Linked DNA regions of Nothobranchius furzeri. The protein of the gene in region 2 binds, or shares a complex with, the protein of the main gene of each other region. Links are inferred from orthologs where the notes say so. Each region holds a gene or a part of one and is shown on either strand. Other genes may lie near its edges.

Region 1 (16,552 bases), on a different chromosome or scaffold from region 2:
ATCATGCTGTCATTGCCCACGTGAGTATTGAAGTCCCCCAGCAGGACAATGGAGCCCCCTAATGGAGCACTATCTAGCACTTTTCCCAGGGACTCCAAAAAGGGTGGGTACTCTGAACTGATATTTGGCCCATAAGCACAAACAACAGTCAGGACCCATTCCCCAACCCGAAGGCACAGGGAAGCTACCCTCTCGTCCCCCGGGGTAAACTCCAACACACAGGCAGAGAGTCTTGGGGCTAACAAAAAGCCAACCCCAGCCCTCCGCCTCTCACCCGGAGCAACTCCACCAAAGGAGAGTGTCCAACCCCTCTCAAGGACTTGGGTTCCAGAGCCAATGCTATGTGTCGAGGTGAGTCCGGCTATATAGCCAGTACTGCTCAACCTCTGCCACAAGCTCCTGCTCCTTCTCCGCCAGCGAGGTGACGTTCCATGTCCCAAAAACCAGTTTCCTTGTCCGGGGATCGGACCGCCAAGGCTCCCGCCTCAGTCTGCCACCCAAAAATAAAAAATAAGGAACATTCTGGAACAGTTTCTTCCTTTTCTTAATTAATTAATTTATTTTTTTATGTATCGAAAGTCTCAGATCGGGACTCGGTATCGCCAGATTCTCAAAATCAAATGACTCAGACTCGAGGGCAAACAACCTGATCGGGACATCGCTAGCGTCTACATATTCATGTACATGTACAAATGTTAAAATAAAAGTGCTACAGTTGAGTACCATTGTGTCCTACTTTGTGTTGTAAAATGCGGGAAGCAATTAGCACCCCCTATCACCACCTGCTGCAGAGGAGTGGGAACAGACTGCAATTCAGGCCAAGGGACAAAAAGTTCCCCTTCAAAATAAAACTGCATGTCTCATTAAAAAATTTTTTTGCCCTGGTAAAGAGCCATAACTCACTAAAATCGGCTCCGCGGCCCAATTTTGGGTCAGGAGGACCCACCAGAATCACTGATCTAGAGCATTCCCATTTTTGTACCTGCATCCATTAGAGCAAGGCTGCCTCCACACGCTGAAGCCATCGAGGAGGATCCTGGGAGAAGGAGAAGAAGAGATGATGTCTGGTCTTAATACGCAGACATTTACGGGATTGTTTACAAAAACACTTGGCATCTCAACACTGACCGTTGGACTCCAGCACCTCTGCTGTGACCCTGATGGTGAAAGGGAAATCTGTAGGAATGACCGGTCTAAGAGCCTTCTCAGCCAGAGCTCCTGCAAACACACAAAAACACTTTCACTGGTGGTGTTGCTTGTGGGAGATACATATAAGGATATGAATGCAAACAAACCATGCCCAAGCTCTCTCCTGTTGAGACCTCCCATTTTCCCAGTCTCGTTTGTTGCATAAGGAGGGAACTGAAATCAAAACCACCTGATTTTTAAAGATAATTTGAGAACAAATGTCTAAAAACAGAAAAATCATATTTTTTCCTTCGGTTTTTCAGAGAAAAGGACAACAGCATTTACTCACCTCATAATGAAGCATAAAGTTTTTGTCTTTGATGCCACTGCAGAGGAAAAAAATAGTGATCAAATTACTAAATTATTCCTAATCTGTATAAAATATACAATGAAAATGAAAATGTTAGTGGCTTAAAGTTTAAATTTCCATAAATTCAAAACAGTGTTTTATTTGTTTTGATCCCTGTTAGCTAACACAGCATGCTACGTTAGCTACTTTTCTTCCCACTCCCATTAAGCATATACAGATTACATTGCATCACATAATACTAAAAAACAGATTTATCACAATCAAACCCATGAGTCACTTAGATTGATAGATTTGTTGTAAATAAAACTGTTTGAGTTTACTTTATTAAACACTGCCCTTTAGAACGCCTTGATTTAACTGAGGTGTGTTTTACAGCAGATGGTTAGTACAAATATATTGTGGTATCATCAGCAAACGGAGAAATATTGTAGGATGTTTAAGTACTGAACATGTTGACTTAGCAAAATGTTTTCATTAAAACATGTAATTAGAATTCCTGTTCAAACAGATGGAAGTCAGTAATATTAGCTAGTGATCATTAACTTTATAAACAAATGAATTTACGTCACCTGAGAGCAGTGGTTATAATGTCTGTTTTGACACTTGATTCCAGGGAGTCAAATGTAACACTGCAGAGCACCTACAGGATGTGCAAGACCATAAAGATACATACATTTTTATTTAAAATGGCTTTTAGATGCAACAAGCTCTTTTTTTTTCCATTAGTTTTAGAGCCGTTTCTCTTTTCTAATAAAACATGGCATTGTTGGAGCCTGAAAGATCAAAGGTCCTTTCGTGGTCGCCAAAATGTCGGGGTTCTAATAGCTTAAGCCAGGGCTATTCAACTTCGGGCCAGTATCCAGCACGTTTCAGTTGTTCCTATGCTCCAACACACTTGAGTCAGTGGTTGAATCACATGTGCAGCAGCTCATCAGGCTCTGCAGAAGTCTGTTAATCACCTGCTGATTGAAATCAGGTGTGTAGAAGCAGGGTTAAAACTAAAATGATGGGATTGAAATTCAAAGAGTAAAATAAACTAAATTTCTTGGAGTTCTTATTGATGAAGAGTTGACATGGAAATCCCATATTAGTTACATAAAAGGTAAAATTGCCAAATCCTTAGGAGTATTACACAGAGTCAAGTTTTTACTGACTAATTCTTGTTTGTTGGCATTGTACAAGTCACTGATTGTTCCATACTTGACTTATTGTGTAGAAATCTGGGGAGAAACATACAAAAACTATACATAACCCTTATTTATTTTACAGAAGAGCTCTGAGAATCATCAGTTATAGTGGCTGTAGAGATCCAGTGAACCCATTGTTTATTAAATATAAATTACTGAAATTTCATGATTTAAAAGACTGGAAAATCATACAAACCATGTATAAAGCCAATTTAGGTACTCTGCCAACAAACATTCAGGGGATATTTGAAAAGAGAAGTAGTAATTACATGCTGAAAGAAACTGATGTGTTTACAAAACCTGGATTTAGAACTAAAATTAAGGAATGGAATATATCTGTAAATGGTGTTAAATTATGGAATAACCTTAAAAGGGAAATTAAAACACTCTGTCATTTAATATATTCAAAAAATGTACCAAGTTGAGTGTACTAAATAATTATGAAAATGTAAATTAAATCAATGATCATGATCGCACTGGAATTTAGAACAGGAAAAAGTTTAAAATGAATCTGTATGTGTGTCGGACAAATGGAAATTGTATATAAATTGATTATTTCTTCTGGAAAAGGGGGCAGAAACTATAAGATGTTTTTCTTCATTCTGCTCCTTTTCGTTCAAATTTTATTTTTTTTTTTTGTTATGTATTTCTTATTGTTTATATGTCTTATTTGTTTTTATTTTGAATGAAATAAAAAGAGAAAAAAAAACCAAACCAAAAAAAAAAACGTGCTGGATACCAGCCCTTGAATAGCTCTGGCTTAAGCCATCTTAAAAAAAACAACAATTGATTGAAATGATGTTTTTACAAACCTGTGTCTGTCCTCTCTGAAACAAAGCTGAGCCATGGAGCGGCTTGAAGAGGTCAATGTCACAGGATATGTTCCTTAAAGACGTCAGTTCCCTTCCATCACACCTTTAAAAAAACGGGGAAAAAACGTTTACACAAGTCACGTTTTGAAATGAAGCGTTGAGATTTTTCTGGAAATCCTGTACAGACAAACGTACCTCTTGTACTCACTGAGAACTAAATTTCGGAAAACTTCTTTGTTCACAGCATTGAATGATTCAATGACTTCAAAGGGCTCCGCCTGAGGGAATTTTTCTTCACACACAAAAACATCAATTATAACTTTTATATATATGATTAGGTAAAAGTAGTGGCTTTAAAATAAATACTAAGGGTTTCCCACCTTTAAAGTTCTCCTCAGTTTCTAGTCGTATTTTGTTAATCGCTTCGTCTCTCGAAATCTAAAACAAGATTAGAATCATTCATGAACATTTTTTTAATTTGAACAAACAAAATGGATTCCAAGCTTTACCTTATCATGCGAGTAATCTGTGAAAACAGCATGGATCTTCTCAGACACCAATCTAAAGGAAGATAAAATAACATGTTTTACTACCCCCTTCTGCCATCTTTATCACATTTAAACAACAGAAAACCACTGTGCATGTGTTCTTACTTCTGGACGTGTTCCACCATGTCAGTCGGGACTGAGAACATTCTGACTGGCGTGCGTTTGATGACTTTCTGCTCCCGCACCAGCTGCTGGATGGCCAGTATGATCTGCTGGGTGTGTTTGACTCCCACCTTTACCGCACGGCAGAAGTCCTGCTGCAGAACGTTCTCAGCCGATGCCTCAATCATCACTGGAACACACGTAGAAGACAAACTGATTAGAAACGTGCAAAGCTGGAAAATAAAGGTACTCAGAATGCGGGCCATTCCTCCAATCACGTCCCTCCAGGTCATGCTGTCATTGCCCACGTGAGCATTGAAGTCCCCCATCAGGACAATGGAGTCCCCAGTCAAAGCATCATCTAGCACTCATCCCAGGGACTCCAAAAACAACAGTACTCTGCATCGGTATTCAGCGCATAAGTAAAAACAACAGACAAGACCTGTTCTCTGACCTGAAGGGGAAGGGAAGCGACCCTCTTGACCCCTGGGGTAAACTCCAACATACAGGCTGAGAGTTTGGGGGCTAACTGAAAGCCAACCACCGCCCTCCGCCTCTCACCTGGAGTAACTACAACAAAGAAAAGAGTCCAACTCGTCTCAAGAACTGTGAGTCTGACTTTATCTAGCCGGTACTACTCAGCCTCTTCCACAACCTCCAGCTCCAGAGAGGTGATATTCCATGTCTCAATAGCCAGTTTCCTTGTCCGGGGATTGGACCACTAAAGCTCCCGCTTTGGTCTGCTTCCCAATCCACAGATCAGGATGTTCACCTGGGACCAGAAGCTCTCCACAGTTCACCATTTTTTTGGTTTGTTTTTAGCTCACTGCTCTTTGTTTGTTGTGGAGCAGCTGAGAAGCCCTCATTGAGTTTTTTTATTATGGACAACCAGAAAATGGTGGAATGTAGCATTGGAGACTTGTAAACACTCTCCAGCATATAAAACAGCCCAAAAACAGTCAGCAATCAGGTCAGTGGGACATTGAGTGATAGGATTACACAAACAAAGTGGATTTTTTCACTATAACACGGATTATTATGACCATAAACCAGCAAAGGCAAGACTGAATTTATGTTTTTGACTTCATTAAATTAGCATTGTTTTGCTTTCTACTTAGCGTCATTTTGTGAATTTGGTGAAGTTGAGGTAGAAAACATGGATTTTATCATTTAGATGAGCCTCTTCCTGTTAAGTACGTGTGCAGTTGACATATATTGGTGAATATTAAGCATGTTTTTTGAACAACTTTGTTGCTGGAAGTGCTTGTGAACCTGGTACCAGGTCCGTCCGGAAGGACATCAGACATGCAATTTGGCCCCATGCCACAGAGTCATTTATAAACTAGTAGAAGTACTTTACAATAAATTCTGTAGTTTACTGGTAACCAGAGTGGAGATTTAAGAACCGGGCGATGTGCTTGGTTATCAAGCAGCAGCATTCTTAATAAGCTGCAATGCTACTACAATACTACTACTAATACTACTACTACTACTACTACTAGTGGAGTGGGTATTTTTGCATCCTTACCCACTTGACTGCTAGGAGCCCCAGCCACAATCATGTTCAAACTGCTGGAAGCCATCTCTGTCCTTGTCGGGTTCACCAGTAACTCTCCATTAACCATACCAACTCGTACAGCACCTGGAAACACACGAGAAGTCACAATTCAAACAAAGTCATGTAAACTCAAATAGGTAAAGAAGATGGAAGATATTAGGAGAAATGCATTTCAAAGTTGTTTTATTACCTATGGGGCCATTCCAAGGGATGTCAGACAGAGCCAGAGCAGCAGAAGCTTCAATGAGAGAAAATAACACGTCAACTAAAAATTTAAAGCACCGTACGTATTAGGAAACGTAAAGCAATAAGGTGTATTCTTACCTGCATTAATAGCTAGCACGTCTGGGTCATTTACACCATCAACTGCGAGGAGGTTACAAAGGACCTTTAGAAGAGATGAAAATATTTTCAAGAAATCCTGACTGTCATGTTTGTTCAAAAACAAAACTACATGATACATTCAAACTTTTAAAATATGAATTTACCTGAGTGTCATAAAAGTAGCCAGGAGGGAAAAGAGGTCTAATCGACCGATCTGATCAACAGAGACATGAAGAGGTCAGTTAAAAATTTTGACTCTACGTTACCATTATAAAGAAGAAGAGCAGCAAAAGTTTCATTTTCAGCTCACCGATGAGTCTGCTGGTGAGGATCTCATTATCAGTGGTGCCTAGTTCTCTCCTCAAATAGTTGGTTGGGATTCGACCTGCAGCAGCAGCCTTCTGTCTGTAATCCACCTGCCAAAACAAAGCATACATTCACTCACACGGCACATAAGAAGCATTTTGTGACACCACTCAAGTCCTAAGGCTTACAGTTTCAGTAAAATCCTCTTAGACCTCATGTAGCTGGAACATACGCAGTAAAAAATAAGCACGGTGATAACAGATTCACGCTGTCATAAAAACACGGATGGGACCTTACCACAAGTGGCATGAACTGAGATGGAGAAGGTTTGGTTTTGCTCACAGCAGTCACCATCACAGAGGTGTCCCCCAGCTAAAGGGAGAGGGGAAGGTAGAGGCAGTTACTATGGAAACCACTCAATAAACTTCATTTACATATGTTAAATCATACAATGACTTGATTTCAAAATGGCCAAAACAACTCAAAACAAAAATATCTAAATACGCTTTTTTAAAAATCTTCTTGTATAACGATAAATCACAGGAAAAAGCAGCAAAAATATTGGAAGAGGAAAAAGGGACCCAAGAGAAGACATTTCAATATTACATATATTACTCAACAATATATACCACATACTTCACCGTTGAGATTAAAATAGGAAGATGAATGAGCAATGACAAAGAGCATCTTTTGGACTTACCTGTACCACAGCAGCACCATCAGCAAACCTTGCAAACTTCCCCGAAGAGATTTCAAGTTTTCTACAAAAGCAAAATCAGACTTAAATACCTTTGAGACAAACCCAGTTCTGCGCATCCTGCATATAAACAATCTTAGATGAAAATCACACAGAGTCTGGTCGGATCAGAGAATGTCAGAGAAACGAATCTTACTTCTCTCCAAGGTTCACTCCCACTCTCCGGAGGTTTGTGTTCCTGCTGTAAACACTCTGGTGACATAACCGGACCCGAAGGTGGCCGAACGAGCGGCCCAGTCGGAGCAAACACCTCATATTTACCGGAATAAAACACAAAAGAAACGCTCCCGCTTTTAAACAGAGCAGTCACACGGTTTACATTCATGCACGAGGGCTTCCATGACAGTCGGTCAAATGGACGGAATTACGTCAAGATGCCGCATCTTCTGATTGGTCGGATGAGAGAACGTGCGTTACAGCAAAACCCCGTCGGTGCTACTTCGCTTGTATGTAGTTCCTGTGAAGATTACGAATAATATATATAAAAAGAGAAACGCTATGATATGCTTTGTAAATTACTTTATAAATTAACAAAAGCGCAAAAATTCGTATTTTTGCAGGTGTGGATTCAAAAGTGGATCTAAAATATAAAGATTAATGCATATTTTCTTTCAAATCCTGTCATTTTTAGCTCTATTTGTTCCATTAGAATATAACATTTATTTTGGGCAGTTTGCTTACAATTAAAATTCAGAATGGTTCTACTGCCATTTCACTTATTCATGAAAATCTAACCATAGTTTCCCCTTTTCTAATTTAGAAGGCTTTTATATGTTAATTGTTATTTTACACCATTACTCCGGAAAATAAAATACACATCTTACTCTTATTTAACATTTTTTAAAATTGCTTTAAAATAATCCAATTATAAAGATTTTACAGAAAATAAAAAATGATACTAAAAAAGGCAAGGTCATGTAGACTAAGCAATGTGGGGTGGGTCACACAAAAACAGTTTTACGTAACATAAAGTTTTCTCCAACAGGTGTCAGGATATTATAAAAACACATCTATTGCGACACAAGATCACAAGAATAAAATGTGCTTCAGCTATCACACATCCAGTCAGATTAGGCTTTGCTCAAGCAGAGCAAGATATTACAATCTCAATTGCTGTTAGCTTTGAGATATCAGCAAGGAACTGTTTCTCATTGTGTCTGTCAGCTTTTCAGTGAGCTTCCCTTGAAAATTTTCACCCATTCTGGAAGTTAATTTTCCAGCAAACAACCTCCAGTCACGGAGCAATCCCTCTAAAAGTGGGCTTCCAGCAGTTGTTATGACAACAGATGAGTATTAACAGCATCCAATTCCTAGCTCTAAGTGGAACACACACACACACACGCACACACACACACACACACGCACACACGCACACACACACACACACACACACACACACACACACACACACACACACACACACACACACACACACACACACACACACACACACACATTTGGCAGCTAATTGCAGAGGAAAACAGCACGGCTTCACTTGCACACTGAGTATGACGCACACAACCTCTCATTCCTATTATTACCAAGAGCTGTCACAGTATTGTCTCTTTTTTTCCAGGGACACAGTAACAACTTATTTGAATCAAGCAGAGCAGTGGGATATTAAACTGTGTAAAGGACCAGTCAATTTTTTCCTGGGCTGAATGGTTTTCCTGCAGTAACACAAGAATTGTGACTGTGCATTCTTGTTGTATGGAATTTTACACAACCAGAAAAACATACACGACTTTAAGGAAGAGTTTTGTGGGCTGAATTTTCAGAAGAAATTTCTGTTCTAGTTTGAACCACAAATAGAAATGTTTGTGATAAATCGCACATTTTTGTGAAACTGTCTGCAGGACTTTGTGGTAATCTGGTTCCTCAGTGAGTGATGCCTCAGAAATAATAGTTTTAATTGACAAACTTAACATATAGGAGAAGAGAATGCCTTTCTATGAGTATTACTGTGGTTATAATAATAAAGAATGCCAACTAACTGAGTCATCAGGTAAAAGTCAGTGCCGCTTTGTGACAAAACTCCCAAATGGCAGCATGAATCCCAGATACTAATGAGGAAGGAATGAACACCCCCGTTCAGTTCAAGGGCAATAAACTCCACCAATGCACATAAATGCTAACACACAATCAGAAACAACCCAAGCTTAAGGGAAACTCAAACAATGTCTCAACAGTGGCAGAGCAGAAAATGGTCACGTTCAGGCTGCTGTGTGTGGGGAAGCAGCCATAAAAGATTTTCATTATGTGCGTCAGGGTTTAGTGGTCTGCTGAGATGATGGGGTTAGAAGAAAAGAGCATGGGTTTCTTCAGAAAAGGTTTGAAATAAATTACTAATTTACATAAACCTTATAAACATGAGCATATAACTTTCTGATATGTCAGATCAATTCTCTTGATTCTCAAAAAACAACGAGTCTGCTAAATGCTCTAAAAAGCACTAACAACAGCACCCATTAGCCTGATTAAAAATGGGAATAAACCATTACTTTACAAACACGGATTGCTGAAAGTATTTTAAAGTTCCATCCAAATCCTTATTCTTTATTTCTGATCAGATTCCAGAGCAATTCTTTATTTCTCATATCTGAACCAGTCATTACATTTTAATAGGTTATTTGACCACATGATCACTGCTCCAGCAATAGCCATTTATTAATTAGATCACATGACCTTTCTGCTGGTGTTGTCTTAAAATCTGTATTTAGCATCTGCATGACTGGGACTTCCTGTTATAGGAGTTTATTCAATAAACACAAACTCAGTCTTCAGTTTAATTTGTTCACCAGTGAGTTATCTTATTCACTCCAAGTGTTTTTATGCGTTACTTTTTTTTATTAAATAGTAGGAGTCACATGTTCCAGCTGCCCTGGGGAACACTGACAGGAGAGAAGACTGCCAAATGCAGTGAAGTGTCTTGCCCAAGGACACAACGACTGCGACAGACTAAGCTGAGCTTGAACCCGCAACCCTCAGGTTATGGAGCAACCATGGTGTTTTATTTGGGAGGCTTGACAAATGCTTTAGTACCATTTTGGGCAGGGGTATTTAATTACGGACCTGGAGGGCCGGTATCCAGCACATTTTAGTTTTAACCCTGCTTCAACACACCTGATTTCAATCAGCGAGTGATCAACAGGCTTCTGCAGAGCCTGATGAGCTGCTGCACAGTTGACTCAACCACTGAATCAAGTGTGTTGGAGCAGAGGAACAACTGAAACGTGCGGCTACCGGCTTTCTGGGCCTGGAATTGAATACCCCTGATCTAGGGACTAAAATGTGCTCTGAAAAATGGCTGACCAGAACATCTTCATGTGCTAGGCCTAATCCCAATATTCGCACTTCCACACTTGTGCCCTTCAATTGCACAATCCCAGCCAGGGGTGTGAGTGCGTAGGGTGCCCCGATTCTCAATTACCCACAATCCATTGCTGTGGGAGCAAAGGCTCAAATGCCTTTTCTGAAAACATGTATTTTATTAGGAAAGTCGTTCATTTTAGGACGATTAATTGATGCTCTGAATGTTTTAGACAAAGATTTAATGTGGATAGCAATGAATGTAAATTTTGTCAAATATTTGTTTGGTTCACTCATTCATTGCCTCCCGTTTCCTGATCAGAAAAGCCCGTTGCTGCCGGCGTTTTTCAGCATTTTCACTGTATTTTTAAGAGTCATAGAACGTTGCGCACTAGGGTGATGTCAACGTCAAAACTACCAAAACAAAGAGTAGACTCACTTCTTACATCAGGATGAATCTGCGTGTTTCGAGCGCTGTTCGTTCTTTCATAATCCGTTGTTGAATTGTGAAGCTTTTACGGTTCGTGCCTTTTTCTTTACAGCAGCGGCCCAAAAAGATCTCCTAACACATGGATTTTCTAATTCCTGATCATGTGATGTGTGACATACACAGATGAAGATCAGCGAGCTGAGATGTTTGTTTTCACGTTGCGGGGGCTCATTCCTACGCCCACACAGTAAAAAAATGCAAATGATGACTTTAGTCGTCACTGGCAGTTGGATTTAAAATGATGACTTTTGTCGTCAATGGCAGTTAATGAGTTAATGAAGTTTTTTTAAGTAGCACAGTGACCAGCAGACGGTTGATGACGCAATGCTCCCTGTCCAAATTCTGCAATCATTTGCACACTTGTGCACCACACACTCGAAGCCTTGCTGTGCACTTCTTCCAAGCACACTTCACAGAAGGGCACAGTGCGAGTATTGGGATTGGGCCTCATTCTCTATTTCCCCAAACTGAGGTTGTTAAAGAACCATCTGGAACAGGAAATGCATTATTCAACATCCCCACAGACCCCTTCTAAGGATCTGAATATTTTCAACCTTTTTTTTTTTTTTAGATGTTTATATAGTGATCTGTGACATAACCCACCAGGTGTCAGTATTTTACCTCCATTATGATGTCTAATGCATGCTGCAGAGGCAGACAAAGGAAGTGCATTTATGCACTGTTACCCTGCATTTCTGCGTGGAAGTTAAACCAAATAAGCACTTAAATAGTCAGTATTACACACTGAGGTTATGAATCACAAGATTGGAGTTTTCATTCACTTTTCTTTTGAGACAAAGTGGTTCCATTACTCGCACTCAAACATGAGTGAATTTATTTTATTTGTTTGTTCACATGTTGACTAAGATCTTTTTTCTATGACTCAGAGGAAATCAGAGGAGAAAGGGAACGCTTTGATTAATGCCCTACTTTTCTTTGGGAGGAGGAGGGAGATGCGCAGGGAGGGAGGCGCGGCTCTACGTGTCCTCCAGTCATCCTCTCAACTCTCCAGCAGCAGCTCGGTGGTGTGCGGCGTTTGGACGCAGACAGCCAGGAATCCGCGTCTGGAAGTCACTTTATTTAAAAAAACAACAACAACAAAAAACTATGAGGTGGAACCCGATCATTTCCGAAGCTGGATTTGCAACATCTGTTTATTTTTCCCTCGCAGCTGGACCTTCTTTTACATACCCGAATTAGGATTATTTCTCATCTCTTTTCGTCGTTTAAATATTGAACGCAACGCGGACTGATCCTTAAATAACAGAAAACCTTAAGGGAATGCGGTTTTTGAGCACAAAAATGTGATTTCTTCTTCTCCCACCCAGGAAGAAGTCTCGTCGGCGGCATCTCCAACAGCTGGGTCGGTTTGAGAAAATTAGTGATTATTATTATTTTTTAAATCCTCGTAAAGTAAAGCCTGGATTAAAACGTGGAATTATCAACATGAGAGGAGTTTAAATCATTTTTTAAAAATCCCAATTTGTTTGAACAAACGGCTGAAGGTTAAATATGGAGAACGAGGTTTTCACCCCATTACTGGAGCAGTTCATGCTCACCCCTCTGGTCTGCTGGGTAAGCACCCTAATTAAATATGCTAATGAGTGTTGACTCATTAAACAATCACCTTATTTCGCCTGTTAATTGATCGCACTCCTTTCTTTTTCCAGGTGAAGACCGTCGGGCGGTCGACAGTGAGCGATGGCAGTAAATTATCGGAATATATGGAATTAGTGGATGGGATTTACCTGAACGAGTTCATGCTGGAGATGTAAGTAAATCTGAGAGTTGGAGAGCCGAACCGGTCAGTCCTCTGAGCTGGCCTACATAGAGGCACGGAATTAGCCAATTGAGGGCATGCAGACATCAAACCAGAGATGTGCAACAACCTACAGTCCATGTTTTATTGTTATTATAGTGGAGGAGGGTTAAAATGATGGTCATCCTTACACGAGACAGCAGCCTCTGTCCAGTTGAGCTGAATGGAGGCTGCTCACAAAGAGGACCCTGTGTTGGTGGGAGTGGGTCAGATATATTAACACTTAAGATGTCTTTTGAGCTTGTGTACACCGGTGTCAGCTGCATGGATGCAGCATGCCTCAGCAGAAAACTAGACTCATTCCCTTGAAGCTGCACCCTGCTGTGTTGTTGATTAATCCTAAGGAGAAACACTCTTCCCAGCACACACACCATGCATGAAAATTTTAACTTGGATGGTGCAGGGAAACAAGAGCACGTTTTATTTTTATCTAATTAAAGAAAATGTAGCTTATTTGTAAGATCTACTGACAGTGCTGGATTTGTGAAGGACTGCATGTCGAATTTGTCTCTTTCCTGAGACCGTTTCTATATGTGGCATGACAGGAGAAAGATTTCTACTTCTTTGTCTGGCTGCAGGTTGCCACTTCCTGCCAGCATGATCTGTTAAAATACATTTTTTTTTCCATATTTCCACTAATGCCAGACTCTCCTGTCAGCTTTTCCCCTGCTTGCCAGTTTAAGGAGCATTCAGTTTTGCCTGCTCCCTGATGAATAGGTTTAAAAGGGATTTATGTGCAGCACATCTCGTGTTTCCTCCCATTGGTTTGAGCCGAGACAACCTCATATCTAATGTATTTGTAGAACATATAGTTGATTGATCTTATGCCTTTTTAAAGAGTGAGAACAGTTTACGTACAAAAAACATGCTTATTATTGTAACAAGTCACATTTATAGCAATAATAACTTGACAGGACAATTAAGAGGACACTTGTTTTGAGCTCTCCGATTGTCCGTTTGCTATAAGCTGCCTCAAGTTTCAACAACCTCTTCCATCTCCCTCTCCAGTGATTTGGTTCTACTCCTGAGTGCTTCTAGTCTCTCGCCGGCTCCAAATAGAATCATGTTTAGGAAAGCAGTTTTTAGGTTTAGAGCTTTCCTCGTTTACTCTGTGTGAAAGAGTAAAAACTGTATTTCCAGTGCATTTTCCCCAGTGGAACATTGGGTAATGGGTAAGCAACTGGAAGGATATGGGGGAAGGGTTGGAGAATGAAGCAAGATGGAAAAACCAAAGGACAATAACCTTTGACATGAAAAAGACAAGTCTGGGGTTTACAAATGAATATGTGCTACCCAGATACGCTGTAGGATCTCTGTGCTTATGTGCAGTGGTGCTTAAAAGGTGGCTAGAAGTGAACTGAAATGAACCGTGGTTTGTCTGACAGGATGTTGGGGATTGGTAGTCACAGCCAACACTGTGCTTCTGTGCATGGATATCTCCGAGGCTTTTGAGTGTGTGTGGGAGTATGTGTGTTTGTGGATTTTTTTTCCTTGCACATTTGGTTATGGACTGAGGCAGCTGTTGGTAGTCGTCTAGCCCAGCCACCCTCCCACACACAAAGCACTACAGTACTGGTCAGAGCTTGTGTTTGTGTCACTGGTCTTTGTCTGTTTTCTCACTTAATGAGAAATGGGTCTCAGTGACGGATATATCATTTGTTTACACATCTACATCTGCTGCTGAGACATTTTCATCCCCTGCTGCTGACAGGTGAAGTGCAGACAATGTTTTTGTCTGTTCTTTAGCAAAATGTCATGATTCACTGGATGGGTTTTAATTGAAACTCACAAAAAGTGATCAGTGAATGAGCATCTACAACTGACTATTGAATCCAGGGGTAGACTTCTTGTTGGTCCTCGTCTACACAGTCCACATAGGTCAAGACCTTCCTCGATCACCAAGACTTGAATTGAGCGGCTGTGAATTTGGTCTAGCTTTCATATTTATTGCCGTCCCCACTGCAGCATAATGTCTTTTTGCCTAGCAACCGTGATGGCGCTAAGACCCTGTCCCAATACTCACACTTCCACTCTGGTGCCCCTGGTGCAAATGCAAAGGGTGTCCTAATTCTCCACAGTGGATCTTGGCCCCACCCCTTTATGCAGCTTTGCTCTGCACTTTGTTAAAGTCTGCACTGATGAAGACTTGTATTACCCACAATCGGTTGCTGTGTGTCAATTCTGAGACAAAAATACATAAAAAAAAATTTAGGTCAGAAAATGACCGCCTGGGAAAATTACAGTTTTAATATAGTTTCACTGTTTTGAATTGGCACAAACAGCGGCTGGCATCGCTATTTTGGAAGTCGTGAAAATGCGACGCAGTAATGTGGTCAACGACGCAATCCTCACTGTCCCAGTTTTGCAAACTTGTTTACCACACCCTCGATGAGCACTTCCACCAAGTGCACTTAACCCTCTGGAGGCAGGCGTTGCAGATTTGCAACGTTAAAACCTACCTACCTGGTTACTCCACATATGTACTTCATGAGCATTTTTTAACTCAGAAGTACCCCTGAAGGACTTAGTTGTTCGTCCTTTTATCAAAACTAATTTTGAACGTGAGAGGGTTAATATCGAACGGTACGCTACAGTGTGGGTATTGGGATTGGGTCTATATAGTAGTAAAAGCTAAGCTCAGCGGTAATATTGACGAAATACAAGACCTGTCATACGTGCTTGTTTACGAGTATTTTCTTTTTTTTTTTTTTAACTTGAACAAATATACAAATAAAAAAACTAAGAACACACTTTTTATGATTTTGTACTGCCAGATTTTACTACACTAACATTTAAAACTGTAATCCTTGCATTACAAGAACAAAAATCACCAGTTTGGCCCACAACATATCCTGGGATAATCTTTGCCAATGACTATACATCAGACTTGTCCTTGAAGTTCAGGGGACATGAGGACACATTTGAAGATGCATTTTGAGTATCCTTCAATTCTGGGCAGTTTTATCACTTTGCTGTGATGTAATCAGCCTCACAATGCATACTTGGAAGGATGTAGCCCCTGGATTCTGACAAACCCTATTAGTCAACCCAATTCAAGATGGCCGTTACAGTTAATTGGTGGTAAAACTCAGTTTTACAGACCATGAACTGCTCTGCATGCCTTCATCATCTCTAGGCTAGACTACTGTAATTCTGTCTATGCTGGTATGGGTCAGAAGGCTATTGCTAGACTCTAAAGGGTCCAGAACAGCGCAGAATGTTTACTGACAGGTACATCAAGGCGGGAACATGTTACCCCAGTTTTGGCATTGCTCCTCTGGCTTCCAGTCTGATACAGAAATTACATTAAAATCTCACTTCTTGCATATAATCCTTCCGCAACATTACCTCCATGTATGCGAGAGGCATGCTTAAGGACTATATCCCATCTCGATCGCTTTGGTCAGCTCATCAGAATTTACCGGTCATCTCTTCAGATGAGCTGAAATCTCGGGGGCATCGTGCATTTTCCAGTATGGCTCCAACTTTGTGGAATGCCCTGCCCCTGAATATTAGACAGGCTGTTTCACATCTTTTATGCCAAGATTGAAAACTTTTATTATTTTTCTGTGGTCTCCCAGATGGGTGCGTAAATATGCTCTACAAATAAAATGACTTGACTTGATCATTGACGTTGTCGCTGTGTCGTTTGCAACACAGATCTCAGGACATTTCATGGTGTTGGGCCTATTCTTATTTTCAGCTCTTGACCCAAAGGACTTTAACTCTACCATTCCTTAGTTTTAAAGCATGAAAAGCTCAGGTACTGTGCATTTGTTCAAACAATGCTATATCTTTAAACTATTCTCTAACTTTTAAAGAGACAGAAGCGAAGCAAAACA
Region 2 (16,552 bases):
CTGTCAACTTTCAATTGTAAAGGGTTATTTCCCAAACATTTTAGAAAAGAGTTAGTTTGATGTTCAGCTATGTTTACACACAGACAAGATTGTTACTACCATACACTTGCTATCAGGAATCACCAGTCTGTTTTTTCTGTTTTGTGTTTCTTCTTTAATTGTTTGTCTCATTGAGCCCGATGGTTTGTTTATTTCATAATGTAATAAATAGCTCCTAGCTTCTATTGGATGCAGTGGAAAGGATGCACTTTCCACATACTGTAAAACTTATCTATGTTCCACTGTGATGCTCAGACCTGTGGTCTAGGTCCTGCTTTAAAGACACTGTTACCAGTCCCATGTGATGTTTGCCTTCAGCTCTGACTCATGGACAGTTTACTTCACTTTATGTAGAGAAGGTGCTGAAACTGAACATGAGTCAAAGACTGCTTACCTGGTTTTTGAGAGTTATCCAACTTATGTCACTACTTTAAGTTAACCTAATATATTTAGTGTGGCTATTTTTGTCTATGGTTTGCAATTCCTTTTTTCCTTTCATGTTGATCGATCTCAATTTTTGTTGTTTGGAGGCGGTGTAATTTATTTCAAAACAATACCCGACCCCACCACCACCACCCCTAACAGATTATTTCTGTCTTCATAAATACTGTCCTGGTAGGATTGGGGAGCTTACTTTAATTGCTGTCAGAAGTTGTGAGGAAACACTATAAACATGTTCTGTATCTCTTCTTTACTGCATGTTTGTCTTCTCATGCCCTTGTGTGTTTGAGCGTGTGCGTGTGAAAGTGTGTGTATCCTGCACACACACCAACCCCAAAAATATATAGCTGAAACAAATTATAAATAAAGCAGATTTATACTGAACTGGTTTTGAAAAACATCACTTTGCTTTTTATATCTATCTATATATTTATACTTTTTTGAAGGTTTTTTTTTATTGCTAAAGTAAAAATCAAAGATCGTTTATAATCACTGAGGACGAGTTTTTTTAAGAACTTTTATTGAACCTTTGCAAAACGAACAAAAGCGACTACATTTCAAAAATTGTTAGCAGAATGACATTACAGAGTAGCTCCGAAGTTCGTGTTCATCTCAACTTGCATTTTGTAGATACAATTCAACTTGGTATAGTAAGAAGACAATAAACAAAAACAACAACAAAAAAATAGAACATGAAAGGATACAAATAAGACAGCATGAAAAAACATATTATGTGTATATAAATAAAGTTTTACAAGGGGGAAGTTAAAGAGCAAACAAGGTCTATTGTGTATACCATCCAAAAAGCAGTTAGAGATTAGTGTCCATAATGAATTCATAAAGCTTTATAGCATTGGGGGTGGACATTTTACCCAAGGATCTCAATAGCAGTTTAATTTCATTTTTTAGATTATTCCACGTAGGTGGATTTTTGAGATATCAGCATTTGTGTATGAAAAATTTTGTTAAGATTATGAGATTATTAATTAGAAATTCATTATTTTTATCTTTTAGTATAATGCCAAATAAGACATCTTCAACTGTGAAATTGTTTATATAAATTTGATTGGAGTTCAGCCAATTGTGGAGTGAATTCCACATCATTAAAATTTGATCACATTCATAGAAAAGATGTTTGGTCGATTCATCGTTTTGTTTGCATAAGTAACATTTTTCCACATTGAATTTAAATCTGGTTTGTATAAAATGGTTAGATGGGTAAATATCATTCAAGGTTTTAAAATGTACTTCTTTATACTTTGGGGGTAAAGAGAATTTTAGATAGTTGGTTCTCAAAACTTTAATTTCTTCTTTTGAAAAATTTTGTAGTAACGAGAATCGGAGTATTGGGTTTGGATAAGAGGTTTTGTTTAATTTGTTTCTCAGGAAAATATTATTACATTTTTATTGAAAATTTCTATCCCATCAACTGCTAATATTTTGAGTCTAGGGTTAACTATATAACCGATAGAAGCTTTAACTAGATGAACCAGAGCACTCTGAGGACGAGTTGGTAAAGCAGATTTCTGACGAGCTACTTTGACGTCATCGGCAGTCGAAGGACCCCGAGCCGATTTTGCTCCAGACTTGCAGACATCTTTATTTATGCCTGTTTAATATTTGCCTACATTTTCCAATATTATTTGACCAGAAGCCTCATTTATTGTTCATTTATTCATATATAGCCGTAAAATGTTAACATAAATAATTATTTATAAATATATATAAAAATATATGTATTTATTTCGAATTTTTTGCAGGCATATTATCGAGCAGACTTCTCACCGCACGTTGTATCACAAGCAGCAAGTGAGTGTGTTGACCGTTCTCTGTTTGAGTTTATGTGTTATTTTTAAGTTTACACCTATGGGACGAGGGAGTAACTCTTTTTTTCATACAATACCATAAAGCTGATAGTGTATTCATTTAAACCGACCGCAGAGATGTCGGTAAACCGCTTCGTGCGTTTGTTTTCTCGGCTTCAACGCCACATAAACACTCGGACGAGCTGTCGGGTGACTTCTGGCTGTAATTTGTTACTTCGGCAACATCAAGCTAGTTCGGTGGTTTGCTGTAGAAACGTTTCTTCTAATAGCTCAAAATCAAATCCTCCGGACACCTCGCTGTTTGTTCCTGTCTCTTTGAAGACTGACACCTTGGATGATGGTAGTGTAGGAGCTGAGCTGACTCAACCCCTCGATAAAAGTAAGTCGGGTCATCAAAGTTATGCATCTCTTGGGACAAAACGCTAATTTGCTGTTAAATGGCCAAAATTAAACTGCTGCTGACAACGTTGCTGTGTTTGATGTGCATCTCCGTTCTTTAACCTCTGCCTGAAGGTGAACTGCTTAAAATGTTGAACCGGTTTTACAAAAGGAAGGAGATGCAGAAGCTGGCCGCAGACCAGGGTCTAGATGGTAAGAAAATAATACACTGTAAAGATATTACTTACATCAGACCACACGTTTCTCTCAGACGTCTGATGTTTTTTCTAGCTTGTCTGTTCCACCAAACCTTCATCAGCTTTAGAAAATATGTCCTGGAGATGACGTCACTCCCAGCTGATCTGCACATTATTCTCAATGACATCTGCTGTGGTGCAGGTACACCTCCCACGTGATGATTTTGTATTTATTTTGTGACCTACTGATTGTAAACGATTCATATTTAATTGCCTGTAATCTGTTATTTCCTCCAGGTCATACTGATGACATTTTCCCATACTTCCTGCGTCATGCCAAGCAAATATTCCCCATGTTGGATTGTATGGATGACCTGAGAAAGATCTCAGACCTCAGAGTTCCTGCAAACTGGTATAAATAACAAGATCATACCTCATTCCTTACATACAATATAATTAGCTCTGTGGCTAATAATCAAAGGTATCTGCCATACTCAGACTTCATTGTAATCTGCATGAGTGTTTTTATCTGCATCAGGTACCCAGAGGCTCGAGCCATCCAGAGGAAGGTGATCTTTCATGCTGGACCTACTAACAGTGGGAAAACCTATCATGCCATCCAGCGCTACCTCGCTGCGCAGTCTGGTGTTTACTGTGGGCCCCTGAAACTGCTGGCACATGAGATCTTTGAGAGGAGCAATAGTGCAGTGAGTAATCTTCATTTTCTTCATTATTGTTTAGCATAGAGAAGAATTGGGATTACTATTTGGAAACCCAAACTGAAAGTGCTTGATTTAAGATTTTGTCAAGAACCCTGCATTTGTTAAGTTTGTTAATTTCTCATTTTTATTTTATAATCCTGTCTCAATATATTTTTCACTGATCTGTGATCTGCTGTTTTTGTTGGGGTACAAATGACTCTTTGGGCTTGTTTGTACTCTCACAGAGTGTACCATGTGATTTAGTCACTGGAGAGGAGAGGACCTTTGTGGACCCAGAGGGTCGAGCAGCTGGACACGTGGCGTGCACCATTGAGATGTGCAGCGTCAGCACACCCTGTAAGTGGACGTTATGTGTACAAAGTGTTATGATGATGCTAAATCTGTGTGATACTATAGTCGTTATGTCCTCCAGCAGTCTTAAGCTTATAGCAGCATAGCTAAAGGGATGAGCCAGGCCAACACCAGCTATAGGATTTATCAAAAAGGAATGTTTTAAGCCTTATCTTAATAATCAGATGTGATATCATGGGGAAAACTTTAAACCAGAAGGTACAGGTACTTGTATCACACTTATGTCAGTGCGCCCCAGGGCAGCTGTGGCTACATCATAGCTCATCCCCACCAGTGTATGAATGTGTGTGTGAATGGATGAATGATACACTGTAGTGTTGTATCACTGTAGTGTAGGTCATTTTATCATTTATCATATGTGTGTGTGTGTGTGTGTGTGTGTGTGTGTGTGTGTGTGTGTGTCTGTGTGTGTGTGTGTGTGTGTGTGTGTGTGTGTGTTGCGGTGTGAAATATTAACTTAAGACTTAATTAATAACCCAAAAGTTTATTTATTACACAGAAGACTCAGTAAGATTCTTTTCATTTGATAAACTGGAAATGCAACCCGTTTCTGTGTTTCATTTCAATAATGAGGCAAGTTTAAAAATGAAGAAATTTATTTACTAACAATTTTAAACTAAAAGATTTGAAACGACAATCATAAAAATGACTATTCAGAAATGGCAATTTTAATGACAATCCTTAACAGTTTTGATATTACTTGTTAAAAGCAAACCTGTGATGGTTGGAGCTAAAATTGAGAATGATGGGTTTTGGATGCGTGAATGCGGTTCAGAAGGTTTCTTTTGGAGGGAATGGAAGGTGTTCTGGATGAAATGATGTTCGTGTTCTACCTCACCCAACCAGCTGACCCTCTTTGTGGATCCTGACATCGAAGGATGGGTTCATCCAAGATGACACTCGGGGCTGGCAGAGAAGACGCCGAGTGTCCGGTTGTCTGGTCCACAGTGGTAGCAGGGCACACGGCTGCACGAAGCGTTTGGCAGATGCACGTTTCGTCTTTTAACTTAACATCAGAAATCAATGACTCTGGGAGGGTCTTTCGTTTAGCTCGTTAGTTTCGTTTGTTCTTTAGCCATTCTGTCAGCGTGACAAGAACAGCAGGTGGAGGCTTAGGAGACGGCCGTTTCTCCTTACCTCGTGGTGTTGGTTCCAGAACTGGACGTGAAATCTGTGATGGTTAGATTTTACCAAACTCTCTCAGAACACTCCCCCTCTCTCTCCGGAAGAAAACTTGGTCATGCGTCAAAGAACATGTGCTGCAGTTATTGTTATCTGAACTCTGTGTTAGCTGACAGTGAAGGTCATCTTTGCTGAACACATCTTTAATCATTATAATAATTCATTATAATACCCAAAGCATAATAATCCATTTCATGTAATTAAGATACCTTTATAATGAGCAAAGTGATCATGTGGTAATGATTATTTAAACAGTAATAAAATCAATGAAATATTAATTATTATTTAATTATTATCATCGTGGCTTGAAGTGTCCTTCTTCTGCCGGAACAGCAGATACTGGTGTTATGATCTCGGCAGACATCGTGGCTCCTTGGGCTTTAATCTGTGGATTCAAAGTACTGTTTGACCCAGCTGGGCAAATGTGACCTTTGGCACAAATCAGAGAACCTTCATCACGCTACATGTGTGTGTGTGTGTGTGTGTGTGTGTGTTAAAAATAGTTGACTGTTTTAATAGTGACATTTAGTACATCACAAATAGAATTGTTTGTGTGTGTAGATGAGGTGGCTGTAATTGATGAAATCCAAATGATCAGAGACCCCTCCAGAGGCTGGGCATGGACCAGAGCGCTGCTGGGTTTGTAACACATCCGAACACACACGTTTGCATCGTGATTTAATTCATCTGAAGTTGATCTGAACTTAAACCACTCTGAATGGTTTTTGTAGGCCTGTGTGCGGAGGAGATCCACGTGTGTGGGGAACCTGCAGCTGTAGACTTCATCAGAGAGCTGATGTACACCACTGGAGAGGAGGTGGAGGTGAGACTGAAACACTCTGTAGAGCAGGAAATGCAAACTGCAGTGGTGGCCCACAGGAGACCTTCTAACATGGTCCCATCCATCCTCAGGTCCACAACTACGAACGCTTAACACCGTTCTCAATCTTGAACCATGCAGTGGAGTCTTTAGACAACCTGAGGCCAGGAGACTGCATCGTGTGCTTCAGTAAAAATGACATTTACTCTATAAGCAGGCAGATTGAGGCCAGAGGACTAGAATGTGCTGTCATTTATGGCAGTTTACCACCAGGTAAACACATCTTTGAACACAATGGTTTATTTCACTGTACATATATAATTTTAGTCTAATAAAATAATATTGGATCACTATTGATTCCAGGCACTAAGCTGTCACAGGCCAAGAAGTTCAATGACCCCGATGACCCCTGTAAGATCCTGGTTGCTACAGATGCTATTGGCATGGGCCTTAACCTGTAAGATTTGTCAACAAAAAGAGTCATTACCACACCGTTTTTATTTTATTTACAAAAAAACGACAGGAAGTTAAAGTAAGACCTGTATTTGTCTCTCTCTCTTCTGCTCAGGAGTATAAAACGAATCATCTTCAACTCTATAGTGAAGCCCAACGTCAACGAGAAAGGAGAGAAACAGATGGAGACCATCAGCACATCGCAGGCTCTCCAGATCGCAGGCCGAGCAGGAAGGTTCGTCTCTGGTTGAAGAAAACTCCCAGTGCAACAAGCCTTTTTTTGTCTCCAGGATTTTTCATACTTGTCTTTTTCCGTTTCAGGTTTTCCTCAGTTTTCAAAGAGGGAGAGGTGACGACCATGCATCGAGATGACCTGCCCGTCCTGAAAGAAATCCTCAGCCGCTCTGTAGATCCCATAAAGGTGATTATTTTACACACAAGAAGACACCAATGCGTTTCTTTTTGTTTAACCTGCTTGTTTGTCTCAGACTGCAGGACTGCATCCCACTGCAGAGCAGATTGAGATGTTTGCTTATCATCTGCCTGATGCTACGCTCTCCAACCTTGTGGTGTGTAAAAAAAAGCATCTAGTTGTTTATTGATACTTGAGTTAGGTTGTTTTTTTTGGTTAGAATCTGTTTTTTCAATTGATTAAAACTCATAGCTTGTCCTCCTGTCCATTTCCACACCCTTTTATTATCTCAGAAGGATGAATGAAGCTCTTGCTCCTGGGAGGTTCTTTTAGGATGTTGTGGTCCTTGCAAGTGAATGGATGCAGTTAACCACTCCTGCCACTAGAAGTCATCACATTGCACTTATTGGACTTTTAAACAACTGAATTATTGTCTTTGTGCACTAAATTTTGTTGCGTTTTCAATTTGCATGAAGTTTTTTTCATCAACATGAACATTGTTGAAAGAAACTGTGTTAAAGAGGAAATTATCCTAATGGTTGTATTCATGCATTTGACCCCAAACCACATTGTTTATAAATTACGTTCTGTTCCTTTTTTCCATCCCAGGACATATTTGTCAGCCTCTCTCAGGTGGACGGTATGTATTTTGTCTGCAACATCGATGACTTCAAGTTTCTGGCTGATATGATCCAGCATATACCGCTCAACCTGAGGTCGCGCTACGTCTTTTGCACCGCTCCCATCAACAAGAAGCAGCCGTTTGTGTGCACGTCATTTCTGAAGGTGAGACGAATTAGACCCACACTTGAAGGAGGGATGTCCTGAAGCAACATTTGGGAATTCTGAGTAATTTTACACATTTTTCTGAACAACTTTGTGATTCACTTTTTTCAGTTTGCACGTCAGTTCAGTCGAGATGAACCTCTGACGTTTAACTGGGTCTGCCGCCATATCGGCTGGCCTGTGGCTGCGCCCAAAAATATCAAAGATCTGGTTCACCTGGAAGCTGTTCATGATGTGTTGGATCTGTACCTCTGGTTGAGGTAAATGTTGTCATTTCAATTTCCCTGCTTGTTGTCATGGATACTGTTATGTCTAAATAAATAATCATGGATCAAGTTTCTTTAGAAACACGTGCAGGTTTAATCTCTTTTTTTTTACATCTGTGTTGTAGCTACCGCTTCATGGATATGTTACCAGATACAGCCTCAATCCGGGAAATCCAGCGGGAACTCGATGATGTCATCCAGACGGGTGTCCGAAACATCACCCGTCTGATCCGAGCCACAGACCCAAACATCACCGACCCGCTGCAGACGCACGGCAACTCGCTCGACCAAGCAGGGAACAGCAGAAAAGATACTGGCAGCACTTTTTTGACCAAGGGCAAAGGTCAGAGGGGCCCTGAAGGGAGGATAGACAGTTCACTGGCGAGTCGTCTGGTTAGAGACGGTCTGCTTACCCCAGATCTGCTCAAACAGCTGCAGAGGGAGTGGTCCCAAAGCAGCAGTCAGAGTGCCCTCCTCTCAGAACAAACAAACAAGAACAGCAAAGGGAAAAGAAAGAAGAAATGAAGAGACATCCCCATCGTGGTAATCTGGAACAGGTACAGGTTACAGAACTAACAATCTGGAATGAAGCATACAGACGTGTTGGATTATAGTTCAGTCTGGAATCAATTACTGGGTTGTTTTATCTTTGTTATTCTTCTCTAGCCTGCACACGGGCAAACTGAGTCAAGCTGGAGATGCTCGTCATTCCGGTTCCTCCTCACTCCTTTTACGTTTGTCTCTAATGAAGGAGCGGGTGTATCTGAAAAGTGATTCTTCCTTTTTTTTTGTCGACAGAATCACTTTTTAGGAGAAAAAATTACCTGTCATGAAACGGACCAGTTGGCGAGTAACAAACTGAAAGCAGGAATGTTTCAATAGACTTAACTGCAACACCAGACTGATCCATAGCTAGAAAACAATTTAAGGAGGCGTCAAACTTTTTATTTTACTCACTTTGAATCAGATTCTTTAGAACATCTGTTCATAAACCGTAACATGTTATATGTTTGTTTTTGTACATGTAAGCAGTTGTCAATAAAACATTTTAAAGGTTTTTGTTCAGTTTAATTCATGATGTTTGATAGAAGAGCTGCCCCCACCACCCATTTAAGACTTGGACCCTTTGGAGCTAATGTAAAAAATTTGTTTTAAGGTTTGAATTTATCATTTTTATCTTAAACATTTTACAATTTATGTTTTATTTATACAAATAAAAGTATTGTGTCCAATTATTTCAGTTCCTCTACTTATTGCTTAGAAAGTTTGATCAGGTCGGAGTCAGCTGAGGTAATTACCTTTAACCTGTAATGAGGTTTTTAATAAATAACTACTGGGGACAAAGCTGGGTTCATTAAATGTGTCCACACAATATAAATATATATAAACTCCATTAAGTTGTGACTTAAATATTGAATTTATATGTGTTACCTGATTATTTTAATAAATATAGCCACTGGCTTTGATGGTGTACAGGGGTGCCCAATCCTGGTCCTGGAGGGCCAGCATCCAGCAGGTTTTGTGGTTTTTCTGCTGCAACAGATGTGATTCAGTGGTTGAAACACCTGTGCAGCAGCTCATCAGGCTCTGCAGAAGCCTATGAATTAGCTGCTGATTGAAATCAGGTGTGTTGAAACAGAGTTCAAACTAAAACATGTAGGATACCGGCCCTCCAGGAACAGGATTGGCCACCCCTGGTGTAATAGAACGAACCTGCTGTGGTTGTAAAATGTCGTCGGATGCAGAGAATTGTGTAGATTCGCTCAAATATAGGCCTTTATCATTCTTACGCATGGCCATTGTGTAAAATAAGAGATTATGCAGAAGAAATCCAGATGAAACCGTAAACGTTTCAGTGAGACTTCAAAGAGGATGGGCTGTAAGGATGAGAAGGGTTTGGCTTGTTAATCATTAAGTTGGTGCAGAGGTTGGTCAACGCTCAGTGGACTCTAAACAGACAGTGACAAGACACGAAGGATTTTTCTGTTTTTAAATTATTTCCCAGACTGGTGCACAGCCTCCCATTCGAACCAGCTGTTTTTGTTCTGGTCCGTTCTGTAGATCAAGATGTTTGTTGCTCATCTTGTTTCTTTCTACTTCTCCAAACTTCAGGAGGATCCCACAAAGAAGGTGAGACTCGTTCTGGATGCAAAAACCAGTTAAGTTAGAAAGAGATTACCCTCTGTAACTAATGGGGAATCGACCTTATTGCTGTACTATTTTAAGAACTGCTTGTTTTTATAATGTTTTAAAAGTTCAGTTTTGTTAATTTATTTTTGAAAGAAGAATAAAAACCGAATTTGCTGCTAACTGACCTCAAATGCATTTTAACTGGATTTATCCAGAATTAAAACAAATTCTAATCTGCTCAGCGTTGCAGTCAGGCCGCGTGTCAAAAACATTCAACAACCACATTGCATGGTAACTTCACCAAGACCACCAGACGAGGTGGTCCTGTGGAAAGGTGCAGCAACCATTAGTTACTGTATTGCATATTTTTCTGTCCTAGGTAATGATTAATATCATCCTCTTGGATCGATCTAACTTCCTCAGAGATCAAAGTTCTGACACTCCCAGCTCTGATCCACACACACGGTCAAATTCAGATAGTCACGCATTAATAACACTGAACAGTCCAACATTGTTTCATAAACCTGTTATCACACTTTGGTTAATTGCGTATTTATAGTCATCTGTTTTAAGGCCCTCGTAATAAAACTTATTTATGGATCTGATCTGTAAGGATTTTGTGGACCCAAGACACAGAGAATGAGACACAAATGACATTAAATGAAACCAGAGTTGTTTTTTGTTTGTTTGTTTATTTTTGGAAGAAAAAATCTGCTACAAAAAACAAACTTGCTGTGAGAATAACCAGGAGTACACATGATCTGGAGAAACCAGGGACTATAGATGCTGGAAGGGTGGTCATAGACTGAGCCAAGGAGCAAAACTGAGAAATGAAACATGAAAAGGGGGGAAAAAAAAGATGAGCATGTAAAGATGAATTAAAACATCACTGACTTTAAAGCAGATCTAAGCATTCCATTTCTGTGCTTATTTGTCTGTAGAAGCGTAACTAATGAACAGACCCTTTTGTGTTGATTATCATTAACGCACCTGCACTTTTGATCCAAAATGTCTACTTTCTGTATTATTTTAAATCTCATATTTATGTTTTTTTGTCAAATTCACCATTTAAATATCACCTAAAATTTCAATATTTTCCTTAAATTACTTGTTTTTTTGAAAATGTTTTATTTATGAACCAGTATTTATTTACAAACATAAACCAGTATATATTTTTTCAACCGCAAAAAGGCATCATGAATTAGATCCTGCAACCCGTTTCCTTTCTGTTTATTCTTCCCTCTTTTTCTTTTTTTTTTAAGGTGGACCGGTTTCTTCATGCCATGCGTCTCAACGATGACCAGCTGAATGAGCTCTCGGCACGTTTTCAGGCTGAATTGAAGAAGGGGCTTTCTGCAGAAAGCAATGCAGCAGCAGCTGTAAAAATGCTGCCAACTCACGTTTGTTCCACTCCGGATGGATCAGGTTATTAGAGACGTTTATTTCCATAGATATTTGTGCATTTTGTTTATTTCAGAACTATGCTATTATATAATATTTCTTTCTTTTTTCCTTTTTCTTGCAGAGAAAGGTCAGTTCCTGGCTCTGGATCTCGGAGGCTCCAAGTTTAAGGTGCTCCAGGTTAAAGTAAGAGAATGTGTGGGCATTAAAAAGGGAGATGTGGAGATGGAGGAGAAGATCTATCCAGTACCAGATGAGCTGCTCACTGGGAGAGCAACAGAGGTCAGAAATGGATAACCACATAGATTTTAAGATTTAAAAAAGGCAGACTTTCTCTACTGCCTTATCTCCTCCTCATCTGCAGTTATTTGACCACGTGTCAGAGTCTCTGAAGGATTTCATGCATGAAAAGAACATCAGTCTGGAAAAAAAACACCCCTTAGCATTCACCTTCTCTTTCCCGTGCGATCAGTCCCGTTTGGATCAGGTACAGCCTTCTCCATACAGCATCCGGTTTCATAATCTGAACAAACTCCACAGGCCTGTCATTTCTAATCCCTACAAGGGATTGTTTTCACTCTCTAGGGAACGTTGTTGAACTGGAGCAAGAACTACAAGGCTCGAGGCCTTCAGGGGAAAGATGTGGTCCAGGCTCTCAGAGAAGCTGTTGAAAGAACAGAGGTAAGATGTCCCCCACATCTTTCATGGGTCTGATGATGACTAGTCTGATGTTTTAGTCGAGGATGTACTGTTTCTAATAGATCTTCCTGCGTTAAACATAGATTTAGTCTGTTTTGTGATGTTTTCTCATGTTTACCTTTGCAGGGTTTAGATGTAGAAATATTAGCAATGGTTAATGACACCGTAGCCACCATGATGACCTGTGGGTTTGATGACTCGTACTGTGAAGTGGGAATTATCGTTGGTGAGTTTAGAAAATCAAAACATCACCATTAAATTTAAAATGGTAAGCAGATTGTATTTCTATAGCACTTTCTAGGGTTTCTACAACCCCCCAAGGCACTTTACAACACATCCAGTCATTCACCCATCCACCAACACACACACACATTCAGGCACTGGTGGTTATGAGCTACAATGTAGCCACAGCTATACACTGATGGAAGCAAGGCTGTCGTGCACTGGCGCCAGCGGTCTCTTCGACCACCCTGATGAAATGATTGATTTTGTTATAACTGTTGTAGTTTCTTTATTTCATTTGACAAATTTTGCAACAACGTGTGACATTTCCTGGGTTCAAAAAGAGCCACTCACTGAAACTGCTCTGTTAGCAGTGACTGAATCCTTAAAAGAAGCTAGAGCGACTGCCAAATCCTCAGTGCTTATCCTGCTTGACTTATCGGCTGCATTTGACACTGTCAACCATGGCTTCCATTTGTCCACACTCTCTAGCATGGGCATCACAGGGAAAGCACACGCCTGGTTTGAATTGTACCTCACAGGACGATCATTCAGTGCATCTTGGCTTGGACAATCCTCTACCGTGCACCATCTTGCCACAGGAGTCCTCCAGGGCTCTGTACAAGGACCTCTTCTCTTTGCCATATACACCACCTCACTGGGTGAGATCATTCGATCACATGGCTTCTCCTACCACTGCTATGCAGACAACACCCAGCTCTATCTGTCACAACCACACTGTCTCTGCACGAATATCAAACAGTCTCTCTGACATATCAAAATGGATGAAATCCCATCATCTCCAACTCAACCTCTCTAAAACTGAACTACTTGTCATCCCAGCAAAACCATCCATACAGCACAATATCTCAGTGCAAAATGACTTCCTATCTCTGGCTCCTTCAAAGGCAGTTTGAAATCTGGATGTTGTTATTGATGAACACCTGACCTTTAAAGATCATGTTGCCTTTGTTGCCCGTTCATGCCGCTTTGCGCTGTATAACATACGAAAGATCAGACCATACCTAACACAACATGCCACCCAGCTCCTGGTGCAATCTACTGTCATCTCCCGCCTCGACTACTGCAATGCTCTTCTAACTGGTCTTCCAGGCTGTACTGTGAGACCTCTTCAAATGGTCCAGAACGCAGAGGCGCGTCTGGTCTTCAATCAGCCAAAAAGAGCACGCGTCACCCCTCTGTTCATTGAGCTCCACTGGCTACCGCTAGCAGCACACATCAAATTCAAATTGCTAACACTAGCATACAAAGTCCGAGAAGGTACGGCTCCCATCTACCTGAATCCTCTTGCAAAGGCTTACGTCTCGGCCCGGCCGCTCCGGTCATCACAGGATCGTCGGCTAGCAGTGCCTACACCACGCTCAGGACAATCCAGACTCTTCTCGTGCATCGTTCCACAAATGTGGAATGACCTTCCAAGCACTACCAGAACTGCGGCTTCCTTTTCAATTTTCAAGAAACTCCTGAAGACCCTGCTCTTCAGAGAGTATCTTCTTAACTAGCACCTTGCCTGCACCCGTCCCCCCTCTCTACTGTCCACTCCTTGCTCCCTCCTCTCCATGACTGATGTCAATTTGTTGTTGTTACTATTGTTGTTAGCCTCAAGGGCAATATGCCGATTATCAATTGTAAGTCGCTTTGGACAAAAGCATCTGCTAAATACATAAACATAAACATAAACATTTCCAGGCAATTAGGAATTTGTTTTGCAGAGAGAGAGAGAGAGAGAGAGAGAGAGAGAGAGAGAGAGAGAGAGAGAGAGAGAGAGAGAGAGAGAGAGAGAGAGAGAGAGAGAGAGAGAGAGAGAGAGAGAGAGAGAGAGAGAGAGAGAGAGAGAGAGAGAGAGAGAGAGAGAGAGAGAGAGAGAGAGAGAGAGAGAAACTGAGTTATATTAACCTCCATGGCAGCAGACAACAGGGGCTTTGTTATCACTGTGCCGTGAGTGTGTTTTGTGTGTTTTTATGTGCATGGGCACCGGCACCAACGCCTGCTACATGGAGGAACTTCGTCACATCGACCTGGTGGAGGGAGATGAGGGGCGGATGTGTGTGAACACTGAGTGGGGTTCATTTGGAGATGATGGAGCCCTGAAGGATTTCCTAACTGAGTTTGACAGGGAGGTGGACGCAGCTTCCAGCAACCCAGGAAAACAAATGTTTGGGAAACAGATTTCTTTTCTCATGTTCTCGTGCCGTGTCTCCTTTCCTTCTGACTTTTTCTTTAATCTGCAGATTTGAGAAGATGGTCAGTGGGATGCACCTGGGGGAGCTGGTGAGGCTGGTTGTGTTAAAGATGGCCAAACTAGGAAAGCTGTTTGATGGACGTGTGTCAGATGCTCTGAGGACCAAAGGGAAGATAACCACTGCAGATGTTGCAGCAATGGATGAGTGAGTAAAAACCAAAAGGGAGATCATCTTTTCTGTTTCTGTTTAAAAATTGTTAGTACTAATTTTCTTTCCTAGGTACAGAAACGGTCTTAAAAACACCAAAGATGTTCTAGATGAGCTTGATTTGAACCCATCAGATGACGACTGCATCGCTGTTCAACATGTCAGCACCATCGTGTCCTTCAGGTCCTCTAATCTGGTGGCTGCAGGACTGGCTGCCATCTTGACTCGAATCAGGCAAAACCGTAATATGGGAGCGCTGAGAATCACCGTAGGTGTGGATGGTACCGTGTACAAAACACACCCGCAGTAAGCTGTTTAACTCTGTTCTCTTGTTTGCATAATGCAATTTGGCATTTCTAGCTCTCTTAGTGTTTTTTTTTCATTTAAATCTTTTGAGTTTAATATCTGAAACAGCTTGCTAGAACATAAAATGTAAAGCACATCACGTTTTGTGATGCTTATTTTCATATATTGATTGAAAATGACACACTATGGCTGTCCTGTGACATTGAACGAAACTGGGGCAGCAGTAGCTCAACAGGCTGAGCGGGTTGTCCAGTAATCGGAAGGTTGCAGGTTTGATCCCGGCTCCGGGCCTTGCATGCTGGTGGTATTTGGAGGGACCGGTGGCGCCTGTGCTCGGAAGCCTCACCCCTATCAGTGCGCCCCAGGGCAGCTGTGGCTACACTGTAGCTCATCACCATCAGTGTGTGAATGTGTGTGTGATGAATGATACACTGTTGTGCAAAATGCTTTGGAGTCCTCTGACTCTGAAAGGCGCTATACAAATGTGGGTCATTTATCATTTAAACTTCCACATTGCTGCTTTGCTGTTCCACACTGACATTGCCTCTCTGCTGTGCTTTCTCAGGTATCCCAAACGCCTTCACAAAGTGGTGAGGCGGTTGCTTCCCGAGTGCCAGGTTCGATTTGTCCTCTCAGAAAGCGGCAGCAGCAAAGGTGCTGCCTTAGTAGCAGCAGTTGCACAACGTCTGACATCACTGAGACGACAGGTTGGATTGATGGCGTGCATTGTTAGATTAACTAGAAAAAAGCAGGCTCACAGCGAAGTACCTGCATGTCCTTATCAGTGGTCGAGCCTACTACTGACTGATGAACACAGACCAGAGCACCATCTAGTGGCAAAGGCCCTTCATTGCTACTTGAACCCAAACACAGCATCTGAAGCCCCGTATCTCTGGTATTCCAGGTTTCTGAGACGCTGTCTCTCTTCAGATTAAAGGAAGAGCAACTCCAGCTGGTCAAAGCCAGGATGAGATCAGGGCTGGACGCAGGACTGAGGAGTAAAAGCTCCTCCACCATAAAAATGCTGCCTTCCTTTGTTTACCTCACGCCGGACGGTACAGGTATGGAAACTAAAACTGACATTACCCTTTAAGGATAGGGCAAATTCCACTTTTATCATAAAAGAACTAATATCTTGACATTTCATTCATTTTTCTAGAGCGTGGGAAATACCTCGCCTTGGATCTGGGAGGAACAAACTTCAGAGCTTTGCTTGTGAGATTTAAAAAGCAGACGTCCAGACTTTATCATAAAATTTACACCATTCCACTAGAGATCATGCAGGGAACTGGGGAGGAGGTAAGAAACACCTCAAGCATTTTATTAATAGTACAACACTGGGTCAGTAGAACATTTATAAAACGCAAAATAAGATCCTTAGTAAGATTAGTGTGTTCTTTGTTTTCCTCCAGCTGTTTGACCACCTAGCGCAGTGTGTGTGTGATTTCCTGGACTACATGGGATTAAAGAACACCCGTCTTCCTGCAGGTTTCACCTTCTCCTTCCCCTG

The links.
Region 1: supv3l1 (region 2) and pnpt1 share a complex: the UniProt entries of both Homo sapiens proteins name them as parts of the mitochondrial degradosome (mtEXO) complex. The link is inferred for Nothobranchius furzeri from reciprocal best matches to the Homo sapiens genes SUPV3L1 and PNPT1.

What each region holds. Positions count from the first base shown.
Region 1 is NC_091752.1:26,271,972-26,288,523, forward strand, and holds the start of pnpt1 (polyribonucleotide nucleotidyltransferase 1, mitochondrial), read right to left. Parts: upstream 7,466-16,552; 5' UTR 7,348-7,465; coding exon 7,229-7,347; intron 7,097-7,228; coding exon 7,036-7,096; intron 6,708-7,035; coding exon 6,633-6,707; intron 6,446-6,632; coding exon 6,340-6,445; intron 6,244-6,339; coding exon 6,194-6,243; intron 6,094-6,193; coding exon 6,030-6,093; intron 5,944-6,029; coding exon 5,896-5,943; intron 5,790-5,895; coding exon 5,676-5,789; intron 4,338-5,675; coding exon 4,151-4,337; intron 4,059-4,150; coding exon 4,007-4,058; intron 3,936-4,006; coding exon 3,878-3,935; intron 3,790-3,877; coding exon 3,693-3,789; intron 3,601-3,692; coding exon 3,498-3,600; intron 2,139-3,497; coding exon 2,068-2,138; intron 1,515-2,067; coding exon 1,478-1,514; intron 1,363-1,477; coding exon 1,296-1,362; intron 1,219-1,295; coding exon 1,129-1,218; intron 1,037-1,128; coding exon 983-1,036; intron 1-982. Other genes in the region: ccdc88ab (girdin), read left to right, coding at 12,404-12,466, 12,562-12,662. UniProt on the Homo sapiens protein: RNA-binding protein implicated in numerous RNA metabolic processes. Catalyzes the phosphorolysis of single-stranded polyribonucleotides processively in the 3'-to-5' direction. Mitochondrial intermembrane factor with RNA-processing exoribonulease activity.
Region 2 is NC_091749.1:53,791,519-53,808,070, forward strand, and holds supv3l1 (ATP-dependent RNA helicase SUPV3L1, mitochondrial), read left to right. Parts: upstream 1-2,284; 5' UTR 2,285-2,423; coding exon 2,424-2,685; intron 2,686-2,819; coding exon 2,820-2,897; intron 2,898-2,975; coding exon 2,976-3,083; intron 3,084-3,178; coding exon 3,179-3,293; intron 3,294-3,419; coding exon 3,420-3,588; intron 3,589-3,827; coding exon 3,828-3,939; intron 3,940-5,697; coding exon 5,698-5,775; intron 5,776-5,867; coding exon 5,868-5,959; intron 5,960-6,048; coding exon 6,049-6,229; intron 6,230-6,319; coding exon 6,320-6,413; intron 6,414-6,524; coding exon 6,525-6,644; intron 6,645-6,730; coding exon 6,731-6,830; intron 6,831-6,897; coding exon 6,898-6,978; intron 6,979-7,430; coding exon 7,431-7,607; intron 7,608-7,718; coding exon 7,719-7,867; intron 7,868-7,998; coding exon 7,999-8,398; 3' UTR 8,399-8,930; downstream 8,931-16,552. Other genes in the region: hexokinase HKDC1, read left to right, coding at 9,941-10,003, 11,266-11,428, 11,529-11,686, 11,769-11,891, 11,990-12,085, 12,230-12,328, 14,317-14,501, 14,578-14,733 and 5 more. UniProt on the Homo sapiens protein: Major helicase player in mitochondrial RNA metabolism. Component of the mitochondrial degradosome (mtEXO) complex, that degrades 3' overhang double-stranded RNA with a 3'-to-5' directionality in an ATP-dependent manner.